Linked DNA regions of Rattus norvegicus. The protein of the gene in region 1 purifies or fractionates together with the protein of each later gene. This does not show direct contact. Links are inferred from orthologs where the notes say so. Each region holds a gene or a part of one and is shown in the gene's direction. Other genes may lie near its edges.

The links.
Region 2: the proteins of Cdh1 (region 1) and Ctnna1 purify together in Homo sapiens (affinity purification with western blotting; 10 studies listed by BioGRID and IntAct, with this or other methods). This does not show direct contact. The link is inferred for Rattus norvegicus from reciprocal best matches to the Homo sapiens genes CDH1 and CTNNA1.
Region 3: the proteins of Cdh1 (region 1) and Plekha7 purify together in Homo sapiens (co-immunoprecipitation; 3 studies listed by BioGRID and IntAct, with this or other methods). This does not show direct contact. The link is inferred for Rattus norvegicus from reciprocal best matches to the Homo sapiens genes CDH1 and PLEKHA7.
Region 4: the proteins of Cdh1 (region 1) and Skp2 purify together in Homo sapiens (affinity purification with western blotting; 3 studies listed by BioGRID and IntAct, with this or other methods). This does not show direct contact. The link is inferred for Rattus norvegicus from reciprocal best matches to the Homo sapiens genes CDH1 and SKP2.

The regions. Positions count from the first base shown.
Region 1 is NC_086037.1:51,453,904-51,458,020, forward strand, and holds part of Cdh1 (cadherin-1 precursor), read left to right. Parts: intron 1-767; coding exon 768-911; intron 912-1,019; coding exon 1,020-1,175; intron 1,176-4,117.
Region 2 is NC_086036.1:27,131,249-27,135,775, forward strand, and holds the end of Ctnna1 (catenin alpha-1), read left to right. Parts: intron 1-84; coding exon 85-266; intron 267-391; coding exon 392-497; intron 498-1,854; coding exon 1,855-1,989; intron 1,990-2,649; coding exon 2,650-2,937; 3' UTR 2,938-3,761; downstream 3,762-4,527. UniProt on the Homo sapiens protein: Associates with the cytoplasmic domain of a variety of cadherins. The association of catenins to cadherins produces a complex which is linked to the actin filament network, and which seems to be of primary importance for cadherins cell-adhesion properties.
Region 3 is NC_086019.1:179,979,241-179,984,011, reverse strand, and holds the start of Plekha7 (pleckstrin homology domain-containing family A member 7), read left to right. Parts: upstream 1-1,856; 5' UTR 1,857-1,929; coding exon 1,930-2,012; exon of another isoform or gene 2,013-2,114; coding exon 2,115-2,191; exon of another isoform or gene 2,192-2,270; coding exon 2,271-2,328; exon of another isoform or gene 2,329-4,660; intron 4,661-4,771. UniProt on the Homo sapiens protein: Required for zonula adherens biogenesis and maintenance. Acts via its interaction with CAMSAP3, which anchors microtubules at their minus-ends to zonula adherens, leading to the recruitment of KIFC3 kinesin to the junctional site.
Region 4 is NC_086020.1:59,913,544-59,918,355, reverse strand, and holds the start of Skp2 (S-phase kinase-associated protein 2), read left to right. Parts: upstream 1-1,884; 5' UTR 1,885-1,971; coding exon 1,972-1,979; intron 1,980-2,479; coding exon 2,480-2,751; intron 2,752-4,812. UniProt on the Homo sapiens protein: Substrate recognition component of a SCF (SKP1-CUL1-F-box protein) E3 ubiquitin-protein ligase complex which mediates the ubiquitination and subsequent proteasomal degradation of target proteins involved in cell cycle progression, signal transduction and transcription.

The DNA.
Region 1 (4,117 bases):
TTGATTGATAACTCCACTTTGGTGAATTGCACCCCTAGGAAAGCAGAAGAAAGGAAACTCAGAACTCCCAAATAGCTAGCTAGCTACTGAATTACTTCTGACATCATCAGGGCAGGCTGGGGCTTAAAGGACATGTACTATATAAGTTTGAAATGACTTTCAAATACAATCATCAAATGTTCAAACCCGCAAATTTTGTATGCACGGTGATTATTTGAATGCTACATATTAAGAATTTAATGAGAACAGCCTGGTGGTGATGGATGGCACATGCCTTTAATTCCAGCACTTGGAAGGCAGAGGCAGGTGGATTTCTCTTTAGTTCAAGGCCAGCCAGGTCTGCAGAACAAGTTCCAGGACTGCAAAGGGCTACACAGAGAAACCCTATCTCAAACAAACAAACAAACAAACAAACAAACAAACAAACAAACAAAACTTGAGTTTTTCTTTCTGGTGGTTCAAGCCCAAATTGCACTTTTATTTTGTAGCACATCAGAGTAGCAGCACACAGGAGAGAAGACCTCTCATTAGCCACTAAGTTAGGAACAATGCTTTTAGGCATAGGGAATATTGTGGGTAGTCAGTGTCCAGACAACAGCATTTGCATTTCTTTGGCTTATGTTTTAGCTGTTCATCCTGGATGGTACATGTAATTTGTCACTGAGAAGGAGTCACTAAATTCAAGATGGAAGACGTCCATGGGATAGATGAACTGTTAGACTTGTATGTCCTCTGCATTACCTCATTTTGTTAATCTTTCCACCTAGGACCCTGTCTCTGAATCCAACCCAGAGCTGCTCACGTTTCCCAGCTTTCACCAGGGTCTGAGAAGACAGAAACGAGACTGGGTCATCCCTCCCATCAACTGCCCGGAAAATCAAAAGGGCGAATTCCCCCAGCGACTGGTTCAGGTACGGGAGGAAGCTGGTGGAAGGCACTCCTGAGAGAAGAGAAAATGTAAAGACCCCATGTGGAGATCTTGCCTTTCCAATTCCCATTCGCTTCTGTTTTCTGTTCAGATCAAATCCAACAGGGACAAAGAGACAACGGTTTTCTACAGCATCACCGGCCCAGGAGCTGACAAACCCCCTGTTGGCGTTTTCATCATTGAGAGGGAGACAGGCTGGCTGAAAGTGACGCAGCCTCTGGACAGAGAAGCCATTGACAAGTACCTTGTGAGTATTTCTTAGATATTGTTGACCACTGGATAACAATTGTCAAATTTTAAAGCAGCTGGTGTTTTATTCCCCAGTTTGGATGTCCTGGACATACAAGTAGCTTAAATTATCTTAACAAGTCGGGGCGGTTCATTGCTGTTGTCGTAGGGATTCATCATATCATGCATGAGCTTAGATAAAAGCTGTCAAAGTAGGCTGGAGGAATGGCTCAACGGGTAAGAACATTTGTTGCTCTTGAAGAGTTCACTTCCCAGCATTCATGTAGGTGGATCACAACCACCTGAAACTCCTGCTCCGGCTGCTCTGATACCTTATGACAACCTCCATTGATAACTCCACAAAAGTGTGTGTGAACACGCGCGCGCACACACACACACTCAGAGACACACACACAGAGACAGACACACACACAGAGACAGACACACACACAGAGACAGACACACACACACACACACGCAGAGACAGACACAGAGAGACAGACAGACACAGAGAGAGAGAGAGACAGAGAGACAGACACACAGATATATACTGCCAAGCTGGGGATAGGTACTGAGGTGGGAGGGACAAAGGCTAAAGACTGATGATAGTCTTATAGCTCTTCCTTACTGTTCTAGGAGCCAGAAGCTAATGGCATCTGGCAGTTTAACTCTCTTGCTATTCTATGGCTAAAAGCTGCTGATTTCTGGCAATTAACTCCTGCTGGTAGATGTAGAGGATTAAGAAAAGTAGTTAGTTGCTTGGGCTGACTCCTCTTTGACTGAGGCTGAGAGTTCTGTTAACTCTGTAAGCCAGAGAGAAAGGAAAAGTCTCTAACACAGAAAAACACTCACTCTGGATGAAGCAGAGAGAAGAAGCTCCAACAAATCTTTGTTTCTGTTCTCACTATTCACATTCTCTGAAAATCCCCTCATACAACTATCAGTTAGAACTGTTGCAGTAGGATAATCGATTACATGATTTCTATAATGTAATTTGCCCCCCCCGCCCCCCCCCCCCGGAGCTGGGGACCAAACCCAGGGCCTTGTGCTTGCTAGGCAAGCACTCTACCACTGAGCTAAATCCCCAACGATTACATGATTTCTAAACACTCTTACGTTCTGTAAGTTCATAGTAAATTTAAGGCAATAGTTATAAGATTTAAGGAGTTACAGCAGAAATGTTTACATTTCTTCCCATTAAGACTAGTATCTGATGAAACATCTGTTATCTATCTTCTAGACCCATAAATCCAATATAAGTAAATAATTTTTTTTATCACAAGTTAACACAATTTTGTTAAGAGATAAATCACCTACCTTGCGTCTTATTAGTTTTGAAGTTTTGTATAGATAAACTAGTCAATATTTTATTTGTTGTATTTGCACCTACAATAAATTGTCCATTCCCAGTTTATGACCTTTAGTTACCAGATAGTGGCCTTGTTCCTAACCTAGAAGGAATGTTTTACTTGGTCGTAAATTTGTTCCAAGCCTGCTGCTTTCTTTTTTTTTTTTTTTTTTTTGGTTCTTTTTTTCGGAGCTGGGGACCGAACCCAGGGCCTTGCGCTTCCTAGGTAAGCGCTCTACCACTGAGCTAAATCCCCAGCCCCCGCCTGCTGCTTTCTTTTCTTAGTGCAGTTAGCCTGTAACACGTGACGGTTTACAGAGCTCTGTTTGCAGCTTTTTCTTCTGTAGGGGACTTGAGATTACTTGTATCAATTTAGGAATTTTATAAAATCATTATCAAGAATTATGAAATCATCAATTCTATAGGCATTACTATATGAAAGCACATCTTCATATTGATTCTGTAGGAGATGTGCCCAATAGGGTGGGCTGATGCCCAGGAATTGGCTGTGCGATAGTGAAAGGAAATACAGTAGCAAGAAGCAATCCTGGGATGAAGTCTCTGAGGACCCTGCATTCTCAGAGCTCACCCATCGCACCTATACAAAATGGTGGCCATCTCCAGAAACCTCACTTGTATGCCTTAGCCTTTCCTAAGTGACTTCTGACATATACACATACATAACAAAAATTGTAAGATGTTGACTTGGCTCAGAAGATGGCTTAGTTATTTTTTTGTTTTTTGGTTTTTTTTTTTTTTTTTTTGTTTGTTTGTTTTCTTCTTCTTCTTTTTTTTTTTTTGGAGCTGGGGACTGAACCCAGGGCCTTGCGCTTGCTAGGCAAGCGCTCTACCACTGAGCTAAATCCCCAACCCTGATGGCTTAGTTGTTAAGAGCACTGGTTGTTCTTGTAAAGGACCTGAGTTTGGTTCCCCATACTGACACGGTAGCTCATAACCATCTGTAACTCAGGTCCAAGGGGACTCAGTGACTTCCTTAGGTATTAGCTCAGGTATATATATGGTATATATACATACCTGGAGCCAAAATATTCGTGTGTGTGTGTGTGTGTGTGTGTGTGTGTGTGTGTGTGTAAAAGAGAGGGGGTGGGGAATAGAGAAATGGCTTAGCAGGTAAGAACACTGGCTACCCTTTCAAAGGACCTGGTTCAATCTGTAGCACACCCAGCAGCTCAGAACTGCCTGTAACTCCAGTTCCTAAGGATTCAACACTCTCACACAGACATATATGCAGACAAAACACCAGTACACATAAGTAAATAAATATTTTTTTTAAATTGGTGTTCTGCCTGCATGTATGCTTGCACACCAGTAGAGGTTATCAGATCTCATTATAAGTGGTTGGTTATGAGCCACCATGTGGATCCTAGGGATTGAACAAAGGACCTGTAGAATGATCTTAATCTCTGAGCCATCTCTCCAGCCCCAAATAAATCTTTAGAAAAAAAAAAAAAAGTCAACTTGTTCTTGGGGAGAAATTTCTTACCTAGATGATACATATTCTGATAATAACTAGGGTACAAAGCTCACTTCTGAGACTTGGTTGCAGTGTGAACTTAGGGAGGAGGGAGATAATCTATAGATGCCAAATGGAG
Region 2 (4,527 bases), on another chromosome or scaffold:
ATCCTACCTATGTTGTAGATTGCTGTTAGCCGTCTTGGCTAATGCACTGTGAGAACTTCCTGAGTGGTTTGCTTGTGGTTGTAGGCGATCATGGCTCAGCTTCCTCAGGAGCAGAAGGCAAAGATCGCAGAGCAGGTGGCCAGCTTCCAGGAGGAGAAGAGCAAGCTGGACGCTGAGGTGTCCAAGTGGGACGACAGCGGCAATGACATCATTGTGCTGGCCAAGCAGATGTGCATGATCATGATGGAGATGACCGACTTCACCCGGTGAGCGCAGCCCTGCAGCCCACAGAGAGAGAGGCTGAGGACTTCCCTGGGGCATAGACATCTTTTCTCCACTTAACCTCCAACCAAGATGGGATTCATAGACAGGCACCCTGTTCTCTTTTCAGAGGCAAAGGGCCACTCAAAAACACATCGGATGTGATCAGTGCTGCCAAGAAAATTGCTGAGGCAGGATCCAGGATGGATAAGCTTGGCCGGACCATCGCAGACCACGTGAGTGCCGCTCTGCACGGCCCATGGCTGAGGAAGCTGTTGATGAGCGTTCTCATGGGCCACGGCTCACCTTGGAAAATTGCTCTAAGCCACTCCATCAGTCCCAGCATACGTTCCTGAGGATTTCTCAACTCCTATTTCTTTGATGAGTTTCCAGGGTTGGGTGTGTCTATCTAAAACTTTCTATCACTCCAGTCTCTGCCGTGTTGGCTGGTTTTCAGTTTGGAGCAGAAGCAGATTCTGCTGCCTCCCTTCTCCTCACCCTCACCCAGCCTCTTGCTGTGAGCGCTGTTACAGCGTCTAGCTGGGGACAGGCTTCTCTTTCTCCTCACTGCTACTTCATACCTCCAGGAAGCCTCACAGCACTTCCCTGTGGCCTTTTTCTAGGCTTGTTATCCAAGCTTACTGTGTCATTCAGGCTGCAGGATGGGTGACATCTGTCCCTCATTACTCAAGCTAACACTTGGCAGTCATTCTTGACCACCCAATAAAAAGCCTTGTGGACAGTGTGTTGTGACAACACCTGTTCTTTCTGTCTGAAATTAGCAGCTCCATTGATCTCTTACTGCTCAGACCTCTGTGGCCTTTCTTTCCTCTGTTCTGCAAACAGCCATCAACACTGTCATCATAAAATGCAAATCACACTTGAATCTGTCCTGCTTCAGTGGCATCTTAGAAAAATTCAAAGCCTTCAGCATGGAGTATCTAGACCCCATTTTACACCACTGCGCTTCTCCCTCCCCTCCACCATTGGAAGAACAGTGTCTGTTGTGAGCACTGGAGAGTGAGTGAGTGGCTGTGCTTCCTTCTCTGAAGAAACCTAAGCACCCAGCCCCCAGCAGTCTGGGCAGAGGCCGCACTTGTCACCTTTTTGTTAATCACCTGTGCCTAGAGCTCTGTGTTCAGGGTTTATCTTGTGTGCGCCCTGGCTGAGAGGACAGCGAGCGCCTCGGCTGATGAATCACTTCTTTAATCTACATAGCTCAGCATTGTCTCCTCTGTAAGACCAGGCCCTTGCTTGCTGATGCTTACCTCACGTTATAGGGGCCAGGAGCTTCTCCCCTGGGGTGGAAACCTAGGCATTAGCACAGTAGTTGCTGGCAGACCCTGAGTTACTGAGTGGAAGGCTCAGAAAGTGTTCACTGCCTACCCCATGCAGGAGGTGGGCTCTGGGAGGGACTGTCCTGGGGTATGGCACCCTAGAGAATGGACACTCCCCCTTCTCTGCCCCTTGCTCCTTTAGGGAGGGAGGAAGCTAACACCCACGGGGAGCCTTTGAGAAATAACCCCGGGGACAGGAGTTGTCTGGGTGGGGCTGGGAGTACTCAGTGCTGAGCGTCTTTTCCTTTTCCGTCAGTGCCCAGACTCCGCCTGCAAGCAGGACCTGCTGGCCTACCTTCAGCGCATCGCGCTCTACTGCCACCAGCTCAACATCTGCAGCAAGGTCAAGGCTGAAGTACAGAACCTCGGTGGAGAGCTTGTCGTCTCTGGGGTAAGTGTCAGCGATGAGACACACTGGCCAGGAGGGGTTTGCTGGCCCGTGTCTGTAGCAGAAGTAGACATTTGTCCCTGTGCATCGCCCACCTACTCCAGACGGGGAAGGAGAAGCAGCATTAGCTACAAGGTCCTTCTTAGTTCCTCTTGGGTCCTGGAGCCCACCGGCCTCACACCATCTCTTTAGCATGGCATGGTTGGTGTGGCCCGGTGACAGCTGGAACTATTGCCAGGCCTCGTCTCTTTTGCCAGCTGTTCTTTGGAAAAGGGTGTTTTTATACCACCACCACCCCAAAAGAGTAATTAACCCAACTAAGAAATTACCAAATAGAACCGCGCCCACTGCTTTCTCCGTTTCTACCCACAAAGAGCTAAGTTGGAGCAATCCATCAGGTCACAGTCCCTGCCACTGTTCACGGTGCCCGTGCTACACAGCCTTGCACACTCGGCACTGTAAGGGATGGGGGATGAGGCGACTTTGTGTGTTGTCACCTTTTCTTTTCAAAGGCAAGTATTTGCAAGCTACATGGGTAAGAGCTGCCCTTGATAGAGCAGTAGGAGCCCCTTAAGGTGACGAGGCCCTGGTTGGTGTGGCCAGGCCACATGCATGCAGGGTTCTAGTCAGGCTCTTCACCGGTGACTCATCTGTCCTTTGTAGGTGGACAGCGCCATGTCCCTGATCCAGGCAGCCAAGAACTTGATGAACGCTGTAGTGCAGACAGTGAAGGCGTCCTACGTGGCTTCCACCAAATACCAGAAGTCACAGGGGATGGCGTCCCTCAACCTTCCTGCTGTGTCATGGAAAATGAAAGCCCCCGAGAAGAAGCCCTTGGTGAAGAGAGAGAAGCAGGATGAGACACAGACCAAGATCAAGCGGGCCTCCCAGAAGAAGCACGTGAACCCTGTGCAGGCCCTCAGCGAGTTCAAGGCCATGGACAGCATCTGAGCTCCGTAGCCCATGGGGGTCCCGAAAAGTCGGTCACATACTTCTCCACTCAGATGTGTTTGCTAAGTAGAGAGCTCTGTTGTATTCCACAGGGAGGGAGCAGATTTCAAACTCAGCCAGGTGGTGAATTTTGCAAGGACATGTTTGTGTTAAAGCTGGTTAGAAAAAAAGCTTTTAGAATTCAAAATATATTTCTAGCTATATTTTTATAAGCTTAATTGAAATAAAAATTCTGTAATCAGAGAGTGCCACATTAACTTCTTGGTCCATTTCTGAACAGGCCGGGGTGAGCACCCAAGGGAGAGGTTGCCTTTAGCCCTACTGTGGGGCAGTATGGAATCAAATGGCCAAGGGTGACCCAGGGTAAACCATGGGGCACCTTAAACTGTGTGAGAAAGAAGGTCCAGAAACCTGAGGAATAAAACAATGGATTACCCTGGAAATTGATTGGTTTCTTTATGAAGCAGAATGGGAATTATGATTCACGGCTAAGTTACTAATGTGCTCTGCTGTAGGACACTAATAGAGTTGCTTTTCTCGGGCTAGAACGTTGTGATGCTGTAATCAGAACATGCTTCCCCTGTTATTCCAGCTGGAAATGCAAATTCATCGTCGGGCTCTCGTAATAATCGCAGTGTTTCCTGCTTTGGGCTGGCTAAGGAGCCTTGACAGCAGTGTTCGCTTAGGCAATAATTTAGACTCCACCTTACTTGTGATTACTATAGCAATTACCATAGCTACAAGATAAGATTTTACTGTCTTATTTAAATTTTATGAATCTGTTTTTTACACTAATTTTCCCAATAAAGTCTATTATGAACCAAGTCTAAGAAGCAGAAGTCATTCTTTGCCTTCAAGAAGAGTCAGACTTGGGCTAATTGCCCCTCTGCCCAGGATGCCTAGGGAGGAGGGAGAGACAGTGACTGGATCTCTAGGGAGGACCTCTCAGGTTCTTGCCTCCCAGGCAGGGTAAGTCCTGTTCAGTACCCCAGCCTGAGGAGTGTCACAGCCATTCTTCAGGGTTCAAGTCAAAGCCGTGGGGGCCCTTCTATGCCAGCAGCATCAACCATGACATGAAAATGGCTGACTCCATTCCCTAGCCTTGTCTCCTATCCCTTCCTCCTACAGATTCCCTCTTAGAGATCCCTAAAGAGATGGCCGTGGACCTTGTCACCTTACTAACTTGTTCTGCCATTGCAGTCAGTGCTTATCTTGCCCCTTGTCAAGTTGACTGCCTTCCCCAGTCACACTGGCCCTACCTTATCAGACCTGCGTAGGCAAGGTCCATGGAACCCACTTCCTTACACACCTTCTCCTCTGTGCCTTCCCTCATCTGCCTGCCTGCCTGCCTGCCCCTCCCTCCGCTCTTCTGATCTTCTGATCTTACCCAAGGTGCCTGGCTTTCAGTGCCTGATACTGGCTTGTTATTGGCACTCTGCTTTTAAGTCTGATATTCTGAGATGTTCCCTCTGGCCAGGGCGCACCCGCTGCCTCTGCTCTCCATGCCTAAGGCCCTTCGGCGTTTCCACCTTTGCTTGTATTACCAGTCACATTTTTCTGGCCAAATAACACAATGAGGCTACTTTAAAA
Region 3 (4,771 bases), on another chromosome or scaffold:
TGTGCCATGAGTCCTTCCTCCAGACTTCCCAACCAAGTCATCATCTCCTCCACCCCCTCCACCATCCATCCCTGTACTGAGCCCACCACACCACACACACAGCCCATGCCTGACAGGGAAAATAAAACAATGTCAATTTTTTTTAAATGTCAACAAAAAGAGAGAAGCTATCTCCCTGTGTTCATTTGGTCAAGAACTGGATCAGAGGCTGAAGGCTCCACATTCCCAGTCACAGCACCTCTCTCCCTAATGACTGCTTCAGAGGAAGGATCGCTTCATGGTCTTCCTAGCACTCCACACCCCTCCCACAGGTTCACCTGCACCCCTAATAGGTTCCTCTGGAGCAGCGGTCATGTTGTGGTGACCCTCAACGACAAAATTATTTCACTGCTATTGTTATGAAACGTAATCTGAGATGCTACTCCGAGGGGTGGAGACCCACAGGTCAAGAAACACTGACAGAGCTCCACTGCGCCCCCTTCAGGGTCCATCCTACTCCTGATCTCTAATTCTAGTGCCCAGTGCAGACAGCTGCACCCTCAAGTGAGCCTCCTCAGACCTGCAGCTGTGTCTCTGCAAGGCTGGCCTGACCCTTGCCCAGCACCTAGCTTCCGGCTCCGGCTCCGGCTCCACCCACTTGCAGAGTGAGGAGTGTTTCCCATTCTTCCATTGAGATGTTGCTGAAAGGATGAGGTAGAATTGTTCGGGTGCCCAGGTCCTGGTATTTTGGGGGCAGATCAAGGCTCCTTCTCTTGTCCAACTGACAAAAGAGAGTAGACACATAAATGTTAATTAGGAGCAAACGAGTGAGTTAAGGGTCTCCTTTACTCTGGGAACTCAGGAGAGCTCCCCAAGAATTCGGGTTGACAGCTCTTCCTTTAAATGAGAGCAGGGAAATCCAGACCCAGCGCCTCTTTTTTTGTCAGTTGTCAGAACTGAAGGTTTGTGATCGCTGCAGCTTCAGGTGTGGGGGGCATTTTTAAAAAAAATTTAAAGGTTTATTTAATATATGTGAGTATACTATTGCTCTCTTCAGACACACCAGGAGAGGGCATCAGACCCTATTACAAATGGTTGTGAGTCACCATGTGGTTGCTGGGAATTGAACTCAGGGCTCTGGAAGAGCACTCAGTGCTCTTAACTGCTGAGCCATCTCTCCAGCCCCTACGTTTTGTTTTTTGAGACAGGGTCTCGTAGTAACCTGCGCTGTCCTGTAATTCTCTTAAGTAGTTCTGTCTGTCTTCCAGCTCGCAGCAATCCTCCGGCTTCAGTCTCCCCAGGGCTGGAATCACAAGCTAGCTTTTCTTTTACAGAAGTCTTGGAGACTGCTCTGGAATCCAGCAGAAACCTGTTTGGTGTTCCTAGTCTAAGACAGAAGCAGACTTCCGGGGTGGGGGGGAGGAGAAGCTGTGGTGTGCAGGTCGGCCGGTTTTCCTGGAGAAAGGGTGTGTGTCGGGGGCTGGGGGGGGGGGTGTAGTCTGTTCACGGCCTGCGAGTCTCGGGGACAAAGGCTGCGGGGCCCTGTGCCCCGCTCCGGCCAGCCCTCCTCCAGTGAACTTTGGAGGCACCGGCCGTGACCTCGAACCACGAGTCACCAAGGCTGGGAGCCCACGCTGCACCCAGCACAGGGGAACCCAGAAGGATCGGTCCAAGTCCCTCGCGTCTCAGCCCCTTCCCACTCCTTCCTTGCCTCTCCCCCTCATTTCTTCCAATGTACCCTTCTCCCTATTCCTCCTCAGATCTAGTCCTCTCCTCCCTATCCCTAGCCAACTCCTTGTTCCAACTCCTTGTTACTCCAGCTCCCCGTTTCTTGTCCCTCCCACTCACTCTGTCCAACATCTTGCACCCCTATCTCCTCGCCCCGCCCCTTACCCCGCCCCTTTACCCATCCCCCCCTCCCCCGGTCCGGGGCTCAGGCGCTGGGCGAACATGGCGGCTGCGGTCGGGCGGGACACCCTACCTGAGCACTGGTCCTACGGCGTCTGTCGGGACGGCCGCGTCTTCTTCATCAAGTGCGTGAGAGGCGGCGGCACCCGGGCGGGGTCGTGTGCTGGGGCTGGGTCCGCGGGCGGGCGTGTGGGGCGGCGGCGCTAACAGGTGCACCTCTCCCGTAGTGACCAGCTCCGCTGCACGACCTGGCTGCACCCGCGTACGGGAGAACCGGTCAACTCCGGTCACATGATCCGCTCAGGTAAGCGCCCGGTCGGTAGAGGGTGCGGGAGGGCGCCACGGCTGTGCAAGTTTGACCAACTTTTCTCGCCTTCCCGCAGACTTGCCGCGCGGCTGGGAGGAGGGCTTCACGGAGGAGGGCGCCAGTTTCTTCATAGAGTAAGTGAGCCCGCACCACCGCCGCACCTCGCTTGCTTTCCCGCAACCTTGGCGGGCTCGGCGCTTGGGGTTTGTATGTCTGAAGGTGGCGGGCTCGGGGGACCGCTGCGTACCGGGGTTCGCAGCGCCGCAGGGGGCCTGACCAGGTCCCGCCCGCCGGCGGCCGAGCCAGCAAACTCCACGGCTCCCGGGACACGCCTACCCCGGGGACATGCGCTGGGCACAGTGGCCGGTGTCAGGGAGAAAGGCTCCGGTGGGTCAGGAGTGTGGCCTGAGGGCTTGGGCGTGGGGGAGGGGGGAGGGGGCCCCGACGCTAGTGTAGCCGCGCTGGCTGGGCTGGCGGTGGAGAGTTGGAGCGCGACCCGGGCCGCTGCATCCTTGCTTCTCAGGGATGGGATGGGGGTGGGGCTCCCGGTCAGCCAATGATATTCTTGGAACTCTACCCGCGAGTCTTCGGCGGGCGCCGAACGCAGTGGAACGCGGACGGTCGGCTCTGCCTGGGCTAGTAGAACGGGAGCTTAGCCGCCTGAATCTCTGGGCGCTGTCCCAACAGTTATTCTGGGTCTGTTGGGCTGCGTGGATCTGATCTCGAAGCTGTAAGGGGACACGTGTACAATCTTCCCTTTTCCCACTCCGGGAAGGTGCCTGTGTTGCAGCGTTCCTCCCCTCTGTGGGTCCTGGGAGTCAGAACTTGCCTTTGATCGTTTGACCCAGTCAGTGCCTGGCATAGAGTAGGAGCTCTGTAAATGTTTGTTTATGGAATGAATGAACTAGCCAAAGGTCTGGCGGCCGATGGTTTGACTGGCACTCGGTGTACTGTGGGGGACCGTGATTCAGAATTAATTTCTTCACCAACTTGGAGACAATGTTTAGATCTGGATCAGAAGGTGTGGAGAAAGTCCCGAGCCTCCTTTATCACTTGGGACTCTTGAATAGTGACTGCTGATGGATGAGGTGTGTGGAAGGGAGGTGCTCACTGTTCTTCTTCGTCGATATGTAATCCGCGGGAGGAAAGGGAACAAAGAGTGAGCAAATAATAATAGCAGGTAACGGTGGCTGCTGTGCGGAAAATTAACACGAGGGGATGTGACTTGGAGTGATTGGATGGCTGGTTGGATTGGTAGGTCCTGAGGACTTTTTTCTGAGCAGGTGACATTTGGAATTTGAATGACAAGAAGGACCCCTGCTGTGGTGCCAGTAGGGGCAAGACATTTCAGAAAAAAATGTTTAAGGTACAAACCCCTTCCAGTTCAATGAGTGGCTTGAAGATGGTGATCTAGGGAGAGAATGGCATTAACGGGAGTCACAGGAAGGGAGGTAAATGCTGAAATTGGACCAGGGTAAAGAGCTCCTGAACTCTGTTCGGAGACCAGGGAGGATGCAGACGGTTTAAAGTGACTTGGTATGCTTTGGGTATTCTTCCGTTAGGGAGAATGGGGTTTGGTGGACAGCAGGAGGCTGTGGCTGTGGTCCAGAGCAGACTGTTAGTGGAGGGTGAAGCACAGAGATGGAGAAAGGTAGTCGGATTCAGGCTGTGCTTTGGATGCTGCCCGAGAGAAAGAACAAAGATGACTCCTAGGGGACTGGGGAGATGCACAGTCCATAAAGCGCTTGTCATGCAAGCACGAGGACTCACGTTAGATCTCCTAAAAACCCAGGTGTGGTAACGTGCACTTGTAATCCTAGCTGTCACTGGGGAGGTGGAGACAGGAGAATCTGGGGCCTGCTGCGGGTCATCCTGCCTAAGCTGCAAGCCCCACTTCCCAGGAAGAGACAGTTTCAAAAATAAGTGGATATTTGAGAAACAACATGTGAGGTTGGGCTGGCTCCTGGATTTTATATTTACAGGCACACATATACGTGTGTACTTGTACACACAGGAATACATACAAGTACACATGCTGCATGCATGTATGCATGAACACACACTGTTGACTCCTAGAGGTTGGAGTTCCTGAGTGAGTGGGTGGTGCCCATATCTTTGAGATGGGAAGGCTGAGGGAGATATAGGCTTGAATAGGTGTTTAAAAAATCTTATTTTACTCTGTTACATATAAGATGTGAATATATCATGTAGTTCAGTAATTCTCCCCTGATTCACAAATAATCCCTTTTCAGGGGTTGACTAGAATCATGGGAAAACACAGATATTTACATTATGATTCATAACAGCAAAGTTACAGTTATTAAGTAGCAGCAAAGACAATTTTGTGGTTGGGGGTCACCACAACATGAGGAGCTATATAAAAGGGTCACAGCATTAGGAGGGTTGAGAACGACTGATACAGATATATGAATCTAAAGCTTGCGGTTGAGAGGGAGAGAGGCTCGCAGAGACCCATCTGAGGATAACTACGTGATGTCATAGGGCATAGATGTCATCGAGGACAAGTGTGGGCCAAATGTCTGTCCTGGTGTGCTGTCTGTTCATAAACACCATGAG
Region 4 (4,812 bases), on another chromosome or scaffold:
CTTCAGTATATTAAGGAAACAGCTGTGATTAGAAGAAATGCAAAAGAAAAACAGTTTCACTATCTAGGCAAATCAAGGGGTTCCTAATTTCAAAGTTAATAGGCTCTCCTTTCCTAGAGAACCTTGTGCCCGCCCACTAATTTAAATATTCTATGTTCTCTGGTAACACTTAGCTAAATTCGGAGCTGAACAAGGTGTTATTTTATGTTTACTACAATTTTTTTTTCTTGAATGAGTTACATCCTAAGAGAAAGGACAAAGTTCAAGAGAAGGCAAATGAGTTTTTCAAAATAACAAAAGATAACTTTATAAACTATTTCATAAGGTCTCATTTTAAGATACTTTCCATAACAAAACTGTGAATACTCAAGTCTCATAGTCTTGCTTCTTTTCAATTAAAACTAATTTGAGAACAGGTCTTTAAAAAAACAAACAAACAAACAAACAAAAAAACACCAATCTCAATTTCAGGAACTAAGGGTTTATGAATTTCTTCCTGTCAAGAAGTAACTAATGCAAAGATTATGGTAGAAACAAAGGCGTAACTGAGCGTGAAGGGCTTAATTCCATTATAAAACAAATCCTGCCCTCCCCACAAAGAAACACAAGGGTATGCAATCTAACATACTAAACCAATATTCTAATGTTTTTGATGAAGGTAGCCTGCTTTGTTCTCAACTCTATAAATCCTCTTCATTTTGGACTTGAAATGCATTCCCCTACCCTCTCCCCTGTTGCTCCGAAGTCACATTATCATCATCATCACATCATCATCATCATCATCATCATCATCATCAACATTGCAGTTTGCACACTTGAATTTTGCATGGTCATTCTAATCTAATAGCCCCCGACCCCTTCAGAGGCTAAATTAGCATAGTTTTCAGCAGGGAGAGATTCATAGAGAGGCTGTGGGTTGAGTCAGAGGCACCTACACAGCTTTCAGGGTGGTCTCTCCTTGCAAGCAGCGCCTCTCTTTTTCCTATTGCATTGGAGAGACCCGTCAAGGATCCAAGAGGATACACACGGGAACCACTGCTGGCTCCTGCTGCCTTAAAAATAAACCACCGCTTCTCTTGGAACTGCGCTTTAGCTTAAAAAGGCTTTCACTCGCACTGTCTGACTTGATCTTCAGTCCAAGCCCGTGGGGTGTGCGTCGTCCTCAAGCCTACTTTATACGTGAGGCAGGGATCGCGTCCACAGACCCAGTCCTAAGGGCCGCCCACTGCCAGGTGGAGGAAGGCGAATGGCCGGCTGGCAGGCGTGCCACCCGCAATCTCTCACCTGGCGGGCGGCCGAGACCGGGGAGATGGGCCTGGCGGAGGCGGCCACTCGGAATCTGGAACCCCCAAGTCTATCTCCGCCAGACTGGGCCGGGACCCCAGACCCTGACGCACCTCACGCGTCCCCGCCCCCCTCACGCTCACCGTCAGACCTCGCCAGACAGCGTCTGGAAGGAACTCGGAAGCTTCGCGTCCGCCGTAGTCTGCCGGGGTCAGGGATCCTTCAGTCTCGGGCGACCGTGGCGGTGGTCACCCGAAGGCCTGTGGGCTCCGGGAAAAGGAAAACCCGCTCCCAGTCAATCGACTGACATTTCCCAGTCAGTCGGAGCTCCACCCACTTCCGCCTGCCTGTCCTCCTTCTTCACTCCCGCCCTTAGCCGCGGGGAGTTGTGGGTATTTGGAGGGTTCGTCCAAAATAAGAGTGGAGGAAATAAGGAGAGATAGAGACGGACTACGAGCCAGGCCCGGAACTACAATTCCCAGCAGGCAACGAGGCGCCAGAAGGCGGCTGCTGGAGAGCGGGATGCAGAACTCCGCGCGCGCGTTGGTGATGGAACGTTGCTAGTTCGCGGGTCCAGCTGCTGGGGCCCCGGGGATCATTGTAAGCAGCGCCCTAGAACGGGAGTCTGGAAGGCAGGCAGCTCTTCAATTAATTGAAGCATTCAAAACTCCTTAATCAGTGGACGCCATGCATAGGTAAACCGATTGCAAAAAACCGGGCAAAGCATGAATGAATCGTTTGAATTCTTTTAGGCCGCGAATGTCGCTTCTTGCTCAAATAATCTTATGTGAATGGTTGCTTAGTTCCTTTTTGGAAGAAAATGGATGGGTGGATGGATGGATGCTTTAGCACGAATATCAATATGCGGTTTAATTTGGCTTCCTAATTAGGTTTTCCTTCCACTTCTTTGAATCACGGTATGAATGCCGTCCCTCTTTTTCCCTCCACGGGAAGAAATTATTGAGGCCTTCTGCGTGACCATAAATCCCAAAGCCTTTCCAAGTGTATGTGTTTCCGATTTTCTCTTTCATTCCTGGATTTCTCTCGCCGCTGTAGGCACGTTAAAAAAAAAATGCAGTTCTGTGACTTGCTGTGACTTTTCGACACTGCATACTTGACGGTTCTTGCATTCCTACCTTGGAATTATTTAGAGGTGTGCTTTCAAAAGGAATAGGGAATGTGTGCCCTTCTGCAGGAAGCACCTTCAGGAGATTCCGGACCAGAGTAGCAACGTCACCACCAGCTTCACGTGGGGATGGGATTCCAGCAAGACTTCTGAACTGCTGTCAGGCATGGGTGTCTCTGCCTTGGAGAAGGAGGAGGTGGACAGTGAGAACATCCCACATGGACTGCTCTCAAACCTCGGCCACCCCCAGAGCCCTCCAAGGAAAAGGCTAAAGAGCAAAGGGAGTGACAAAGACTTTGTGATCATTCGTCGGCCTAAGCTCAATCGAGAGAACTTTCCAGGTAAGGCATGACACTAAGATTCAAATTATGTAAGAAGTGGATTAAACTATTTTTGTTTTAGCTATTAACTTGGGGAACCTTGGGGATCAGTACCTAAAATTTCCTAGTTTGGAAGTGTCACAGTGAAATGGATCCCATTCATCAAGTCTCCAGGAATCTTGCTTGGTCTTTATCTTGTGGTCAAGGATTGACTTGAAACTTTTAGCCCACGAGGCAGCATTCCTGCCCTTTCCCTTGGAAGGGAATCTCCCTGCTCAAAGTCCAGCTCAGCACATTGATAAATGGGAACAGAAGCAGGGATCTTAGAGGGTCCCCTTTTGTCTCTAATATTCTTTATATCTGAGCAAGCTTTGTGTCTTAATCACTAGGTTATTTGTGGGCACATTAGTAATATAAATGTTAATCTAAGTAGAGGAGACTTAGACTGCTCCACTTGCAAACAGGCCCTTGGGGATGTCGTGCTTCCATTACTGTACCACTGTCACTCCCACTGTCCACTGCCCTTTATATCCAACTTGTCACTGTGTCTTTCACTCTTGTATGGCAACTGCCTCAAGCTTTCATCATCTCTTCCTGAATTATTGTAATGGGTTTATACTTTCAGCTTTCTTCTCAATTCTGTCTCCAGAAGGCAGAGCGGATTGATGAAAACAGAATTTACCTGAAATTATTCTCTTGCTAGTGATTCCCATTCCCTGATTTCCCAACCATTTTTAAGTAAGTTCCTCCCAAGTAGATCACGTCTCAAGGACTCCTGGGGCCTTAGGGTAAATAGAGTGGATTGACCTGAGGCACTGTCAGAGTTTCGCCCTGCCCCCTAGTCATTTAAAAGAGTGACTCAGCAAGAGTTGCTGAGAGCACACTGTCCTCTACAGTATGGTGCTAAGAAGAACAGCAGTGAACACATCTTAGAGCTTCCTTTCTAGTGAAGAGATACTCTCAGGACAGTGGATATGGTACCTTATGTAATGTGTTAGGCCACAGGGGCTAAAAACAAAAGGGTGTCAAGCTGGGGAAGAATGGAAGTCCTGGAATCTGAAGATAGATTGCAAACTGGGTATCAGCTGAAACCCTTAATTGGGCCGTGACCTTTAAGCAAAGACTAGGAGGGGAGAGTGCAGGAGTAAGGCATGGAAATGTCCCTTGGTCTAAGGAACCCAACACAAAGGGAACGGCCATTAAAAATCCTGGAGAAAAGGATGGACCCTACCGGAAAAATCAGAGTAGGCGTGGACAGAGTAGGAAGAAGTATGGCCACTGGTGAAGCTGATCATACCTCGTTGAAGCCATTCACTCCCCTTCCCTTGTTCTGTTTTGTTTTGTGGAGTCAGGGTTTCTCTGTTTGTCATATAACGCACTCTATACACCAGGCTGGCCTCAAACTCAGAGATGTACCTAACTCAAGTGCTGGGATTAAAAGAATAGACCATCACCGCCCTGGCTCATTGAAGCCTTTGAAGGAACACATTGGTTAGCTGAGGTTGAACTGTATCGGGTAGAGGACAGACAACAGACCCCTAGAGATTTATTTAGACTTGTGGGAATGTGATAAATGATGCTGGATATAGTCTAAGTTTAGAGACAATAGGATGAGAGCAGTGGAAGAGGTAAAAACTGAGTCAGAACTGAAAGTGGGTGAGGAATAGAAAAACAGATTGAAGAAAGCATCAGGGTGAAGTCTTGCCATTGGGAAGAAAGGTAGTCTTCGGTCCTTCCTTCTGGCGCTGTCTGCAGGTGAGCTGATCAGTGGCTTGCTTTAAAATACCTATTTTGTAGTCTCATGTGGTGTCACAAGCCTTTGAACCCAACACTCAGGTAGCTGGAGCAGACTGATGTCTGCGAATTGGAAGCTGGCCTAACCAGTAAGCTCCAGGACAGCCAGGGCTGTACAGTGAGACACTGTCCCAAAAGACAAAATCTGTTGGGGCTTCTTAGTACTTTTGTAGGAGAGGGAGTCATCCTCAAGTTGTAGCATGTGAGTCCACATTGATGCCGGGTATGGTGGCAGGTATCTCTAGCCCCAGCTTGGAGGCTGAAGTCAGAGGATGGGGATTTCTGGAA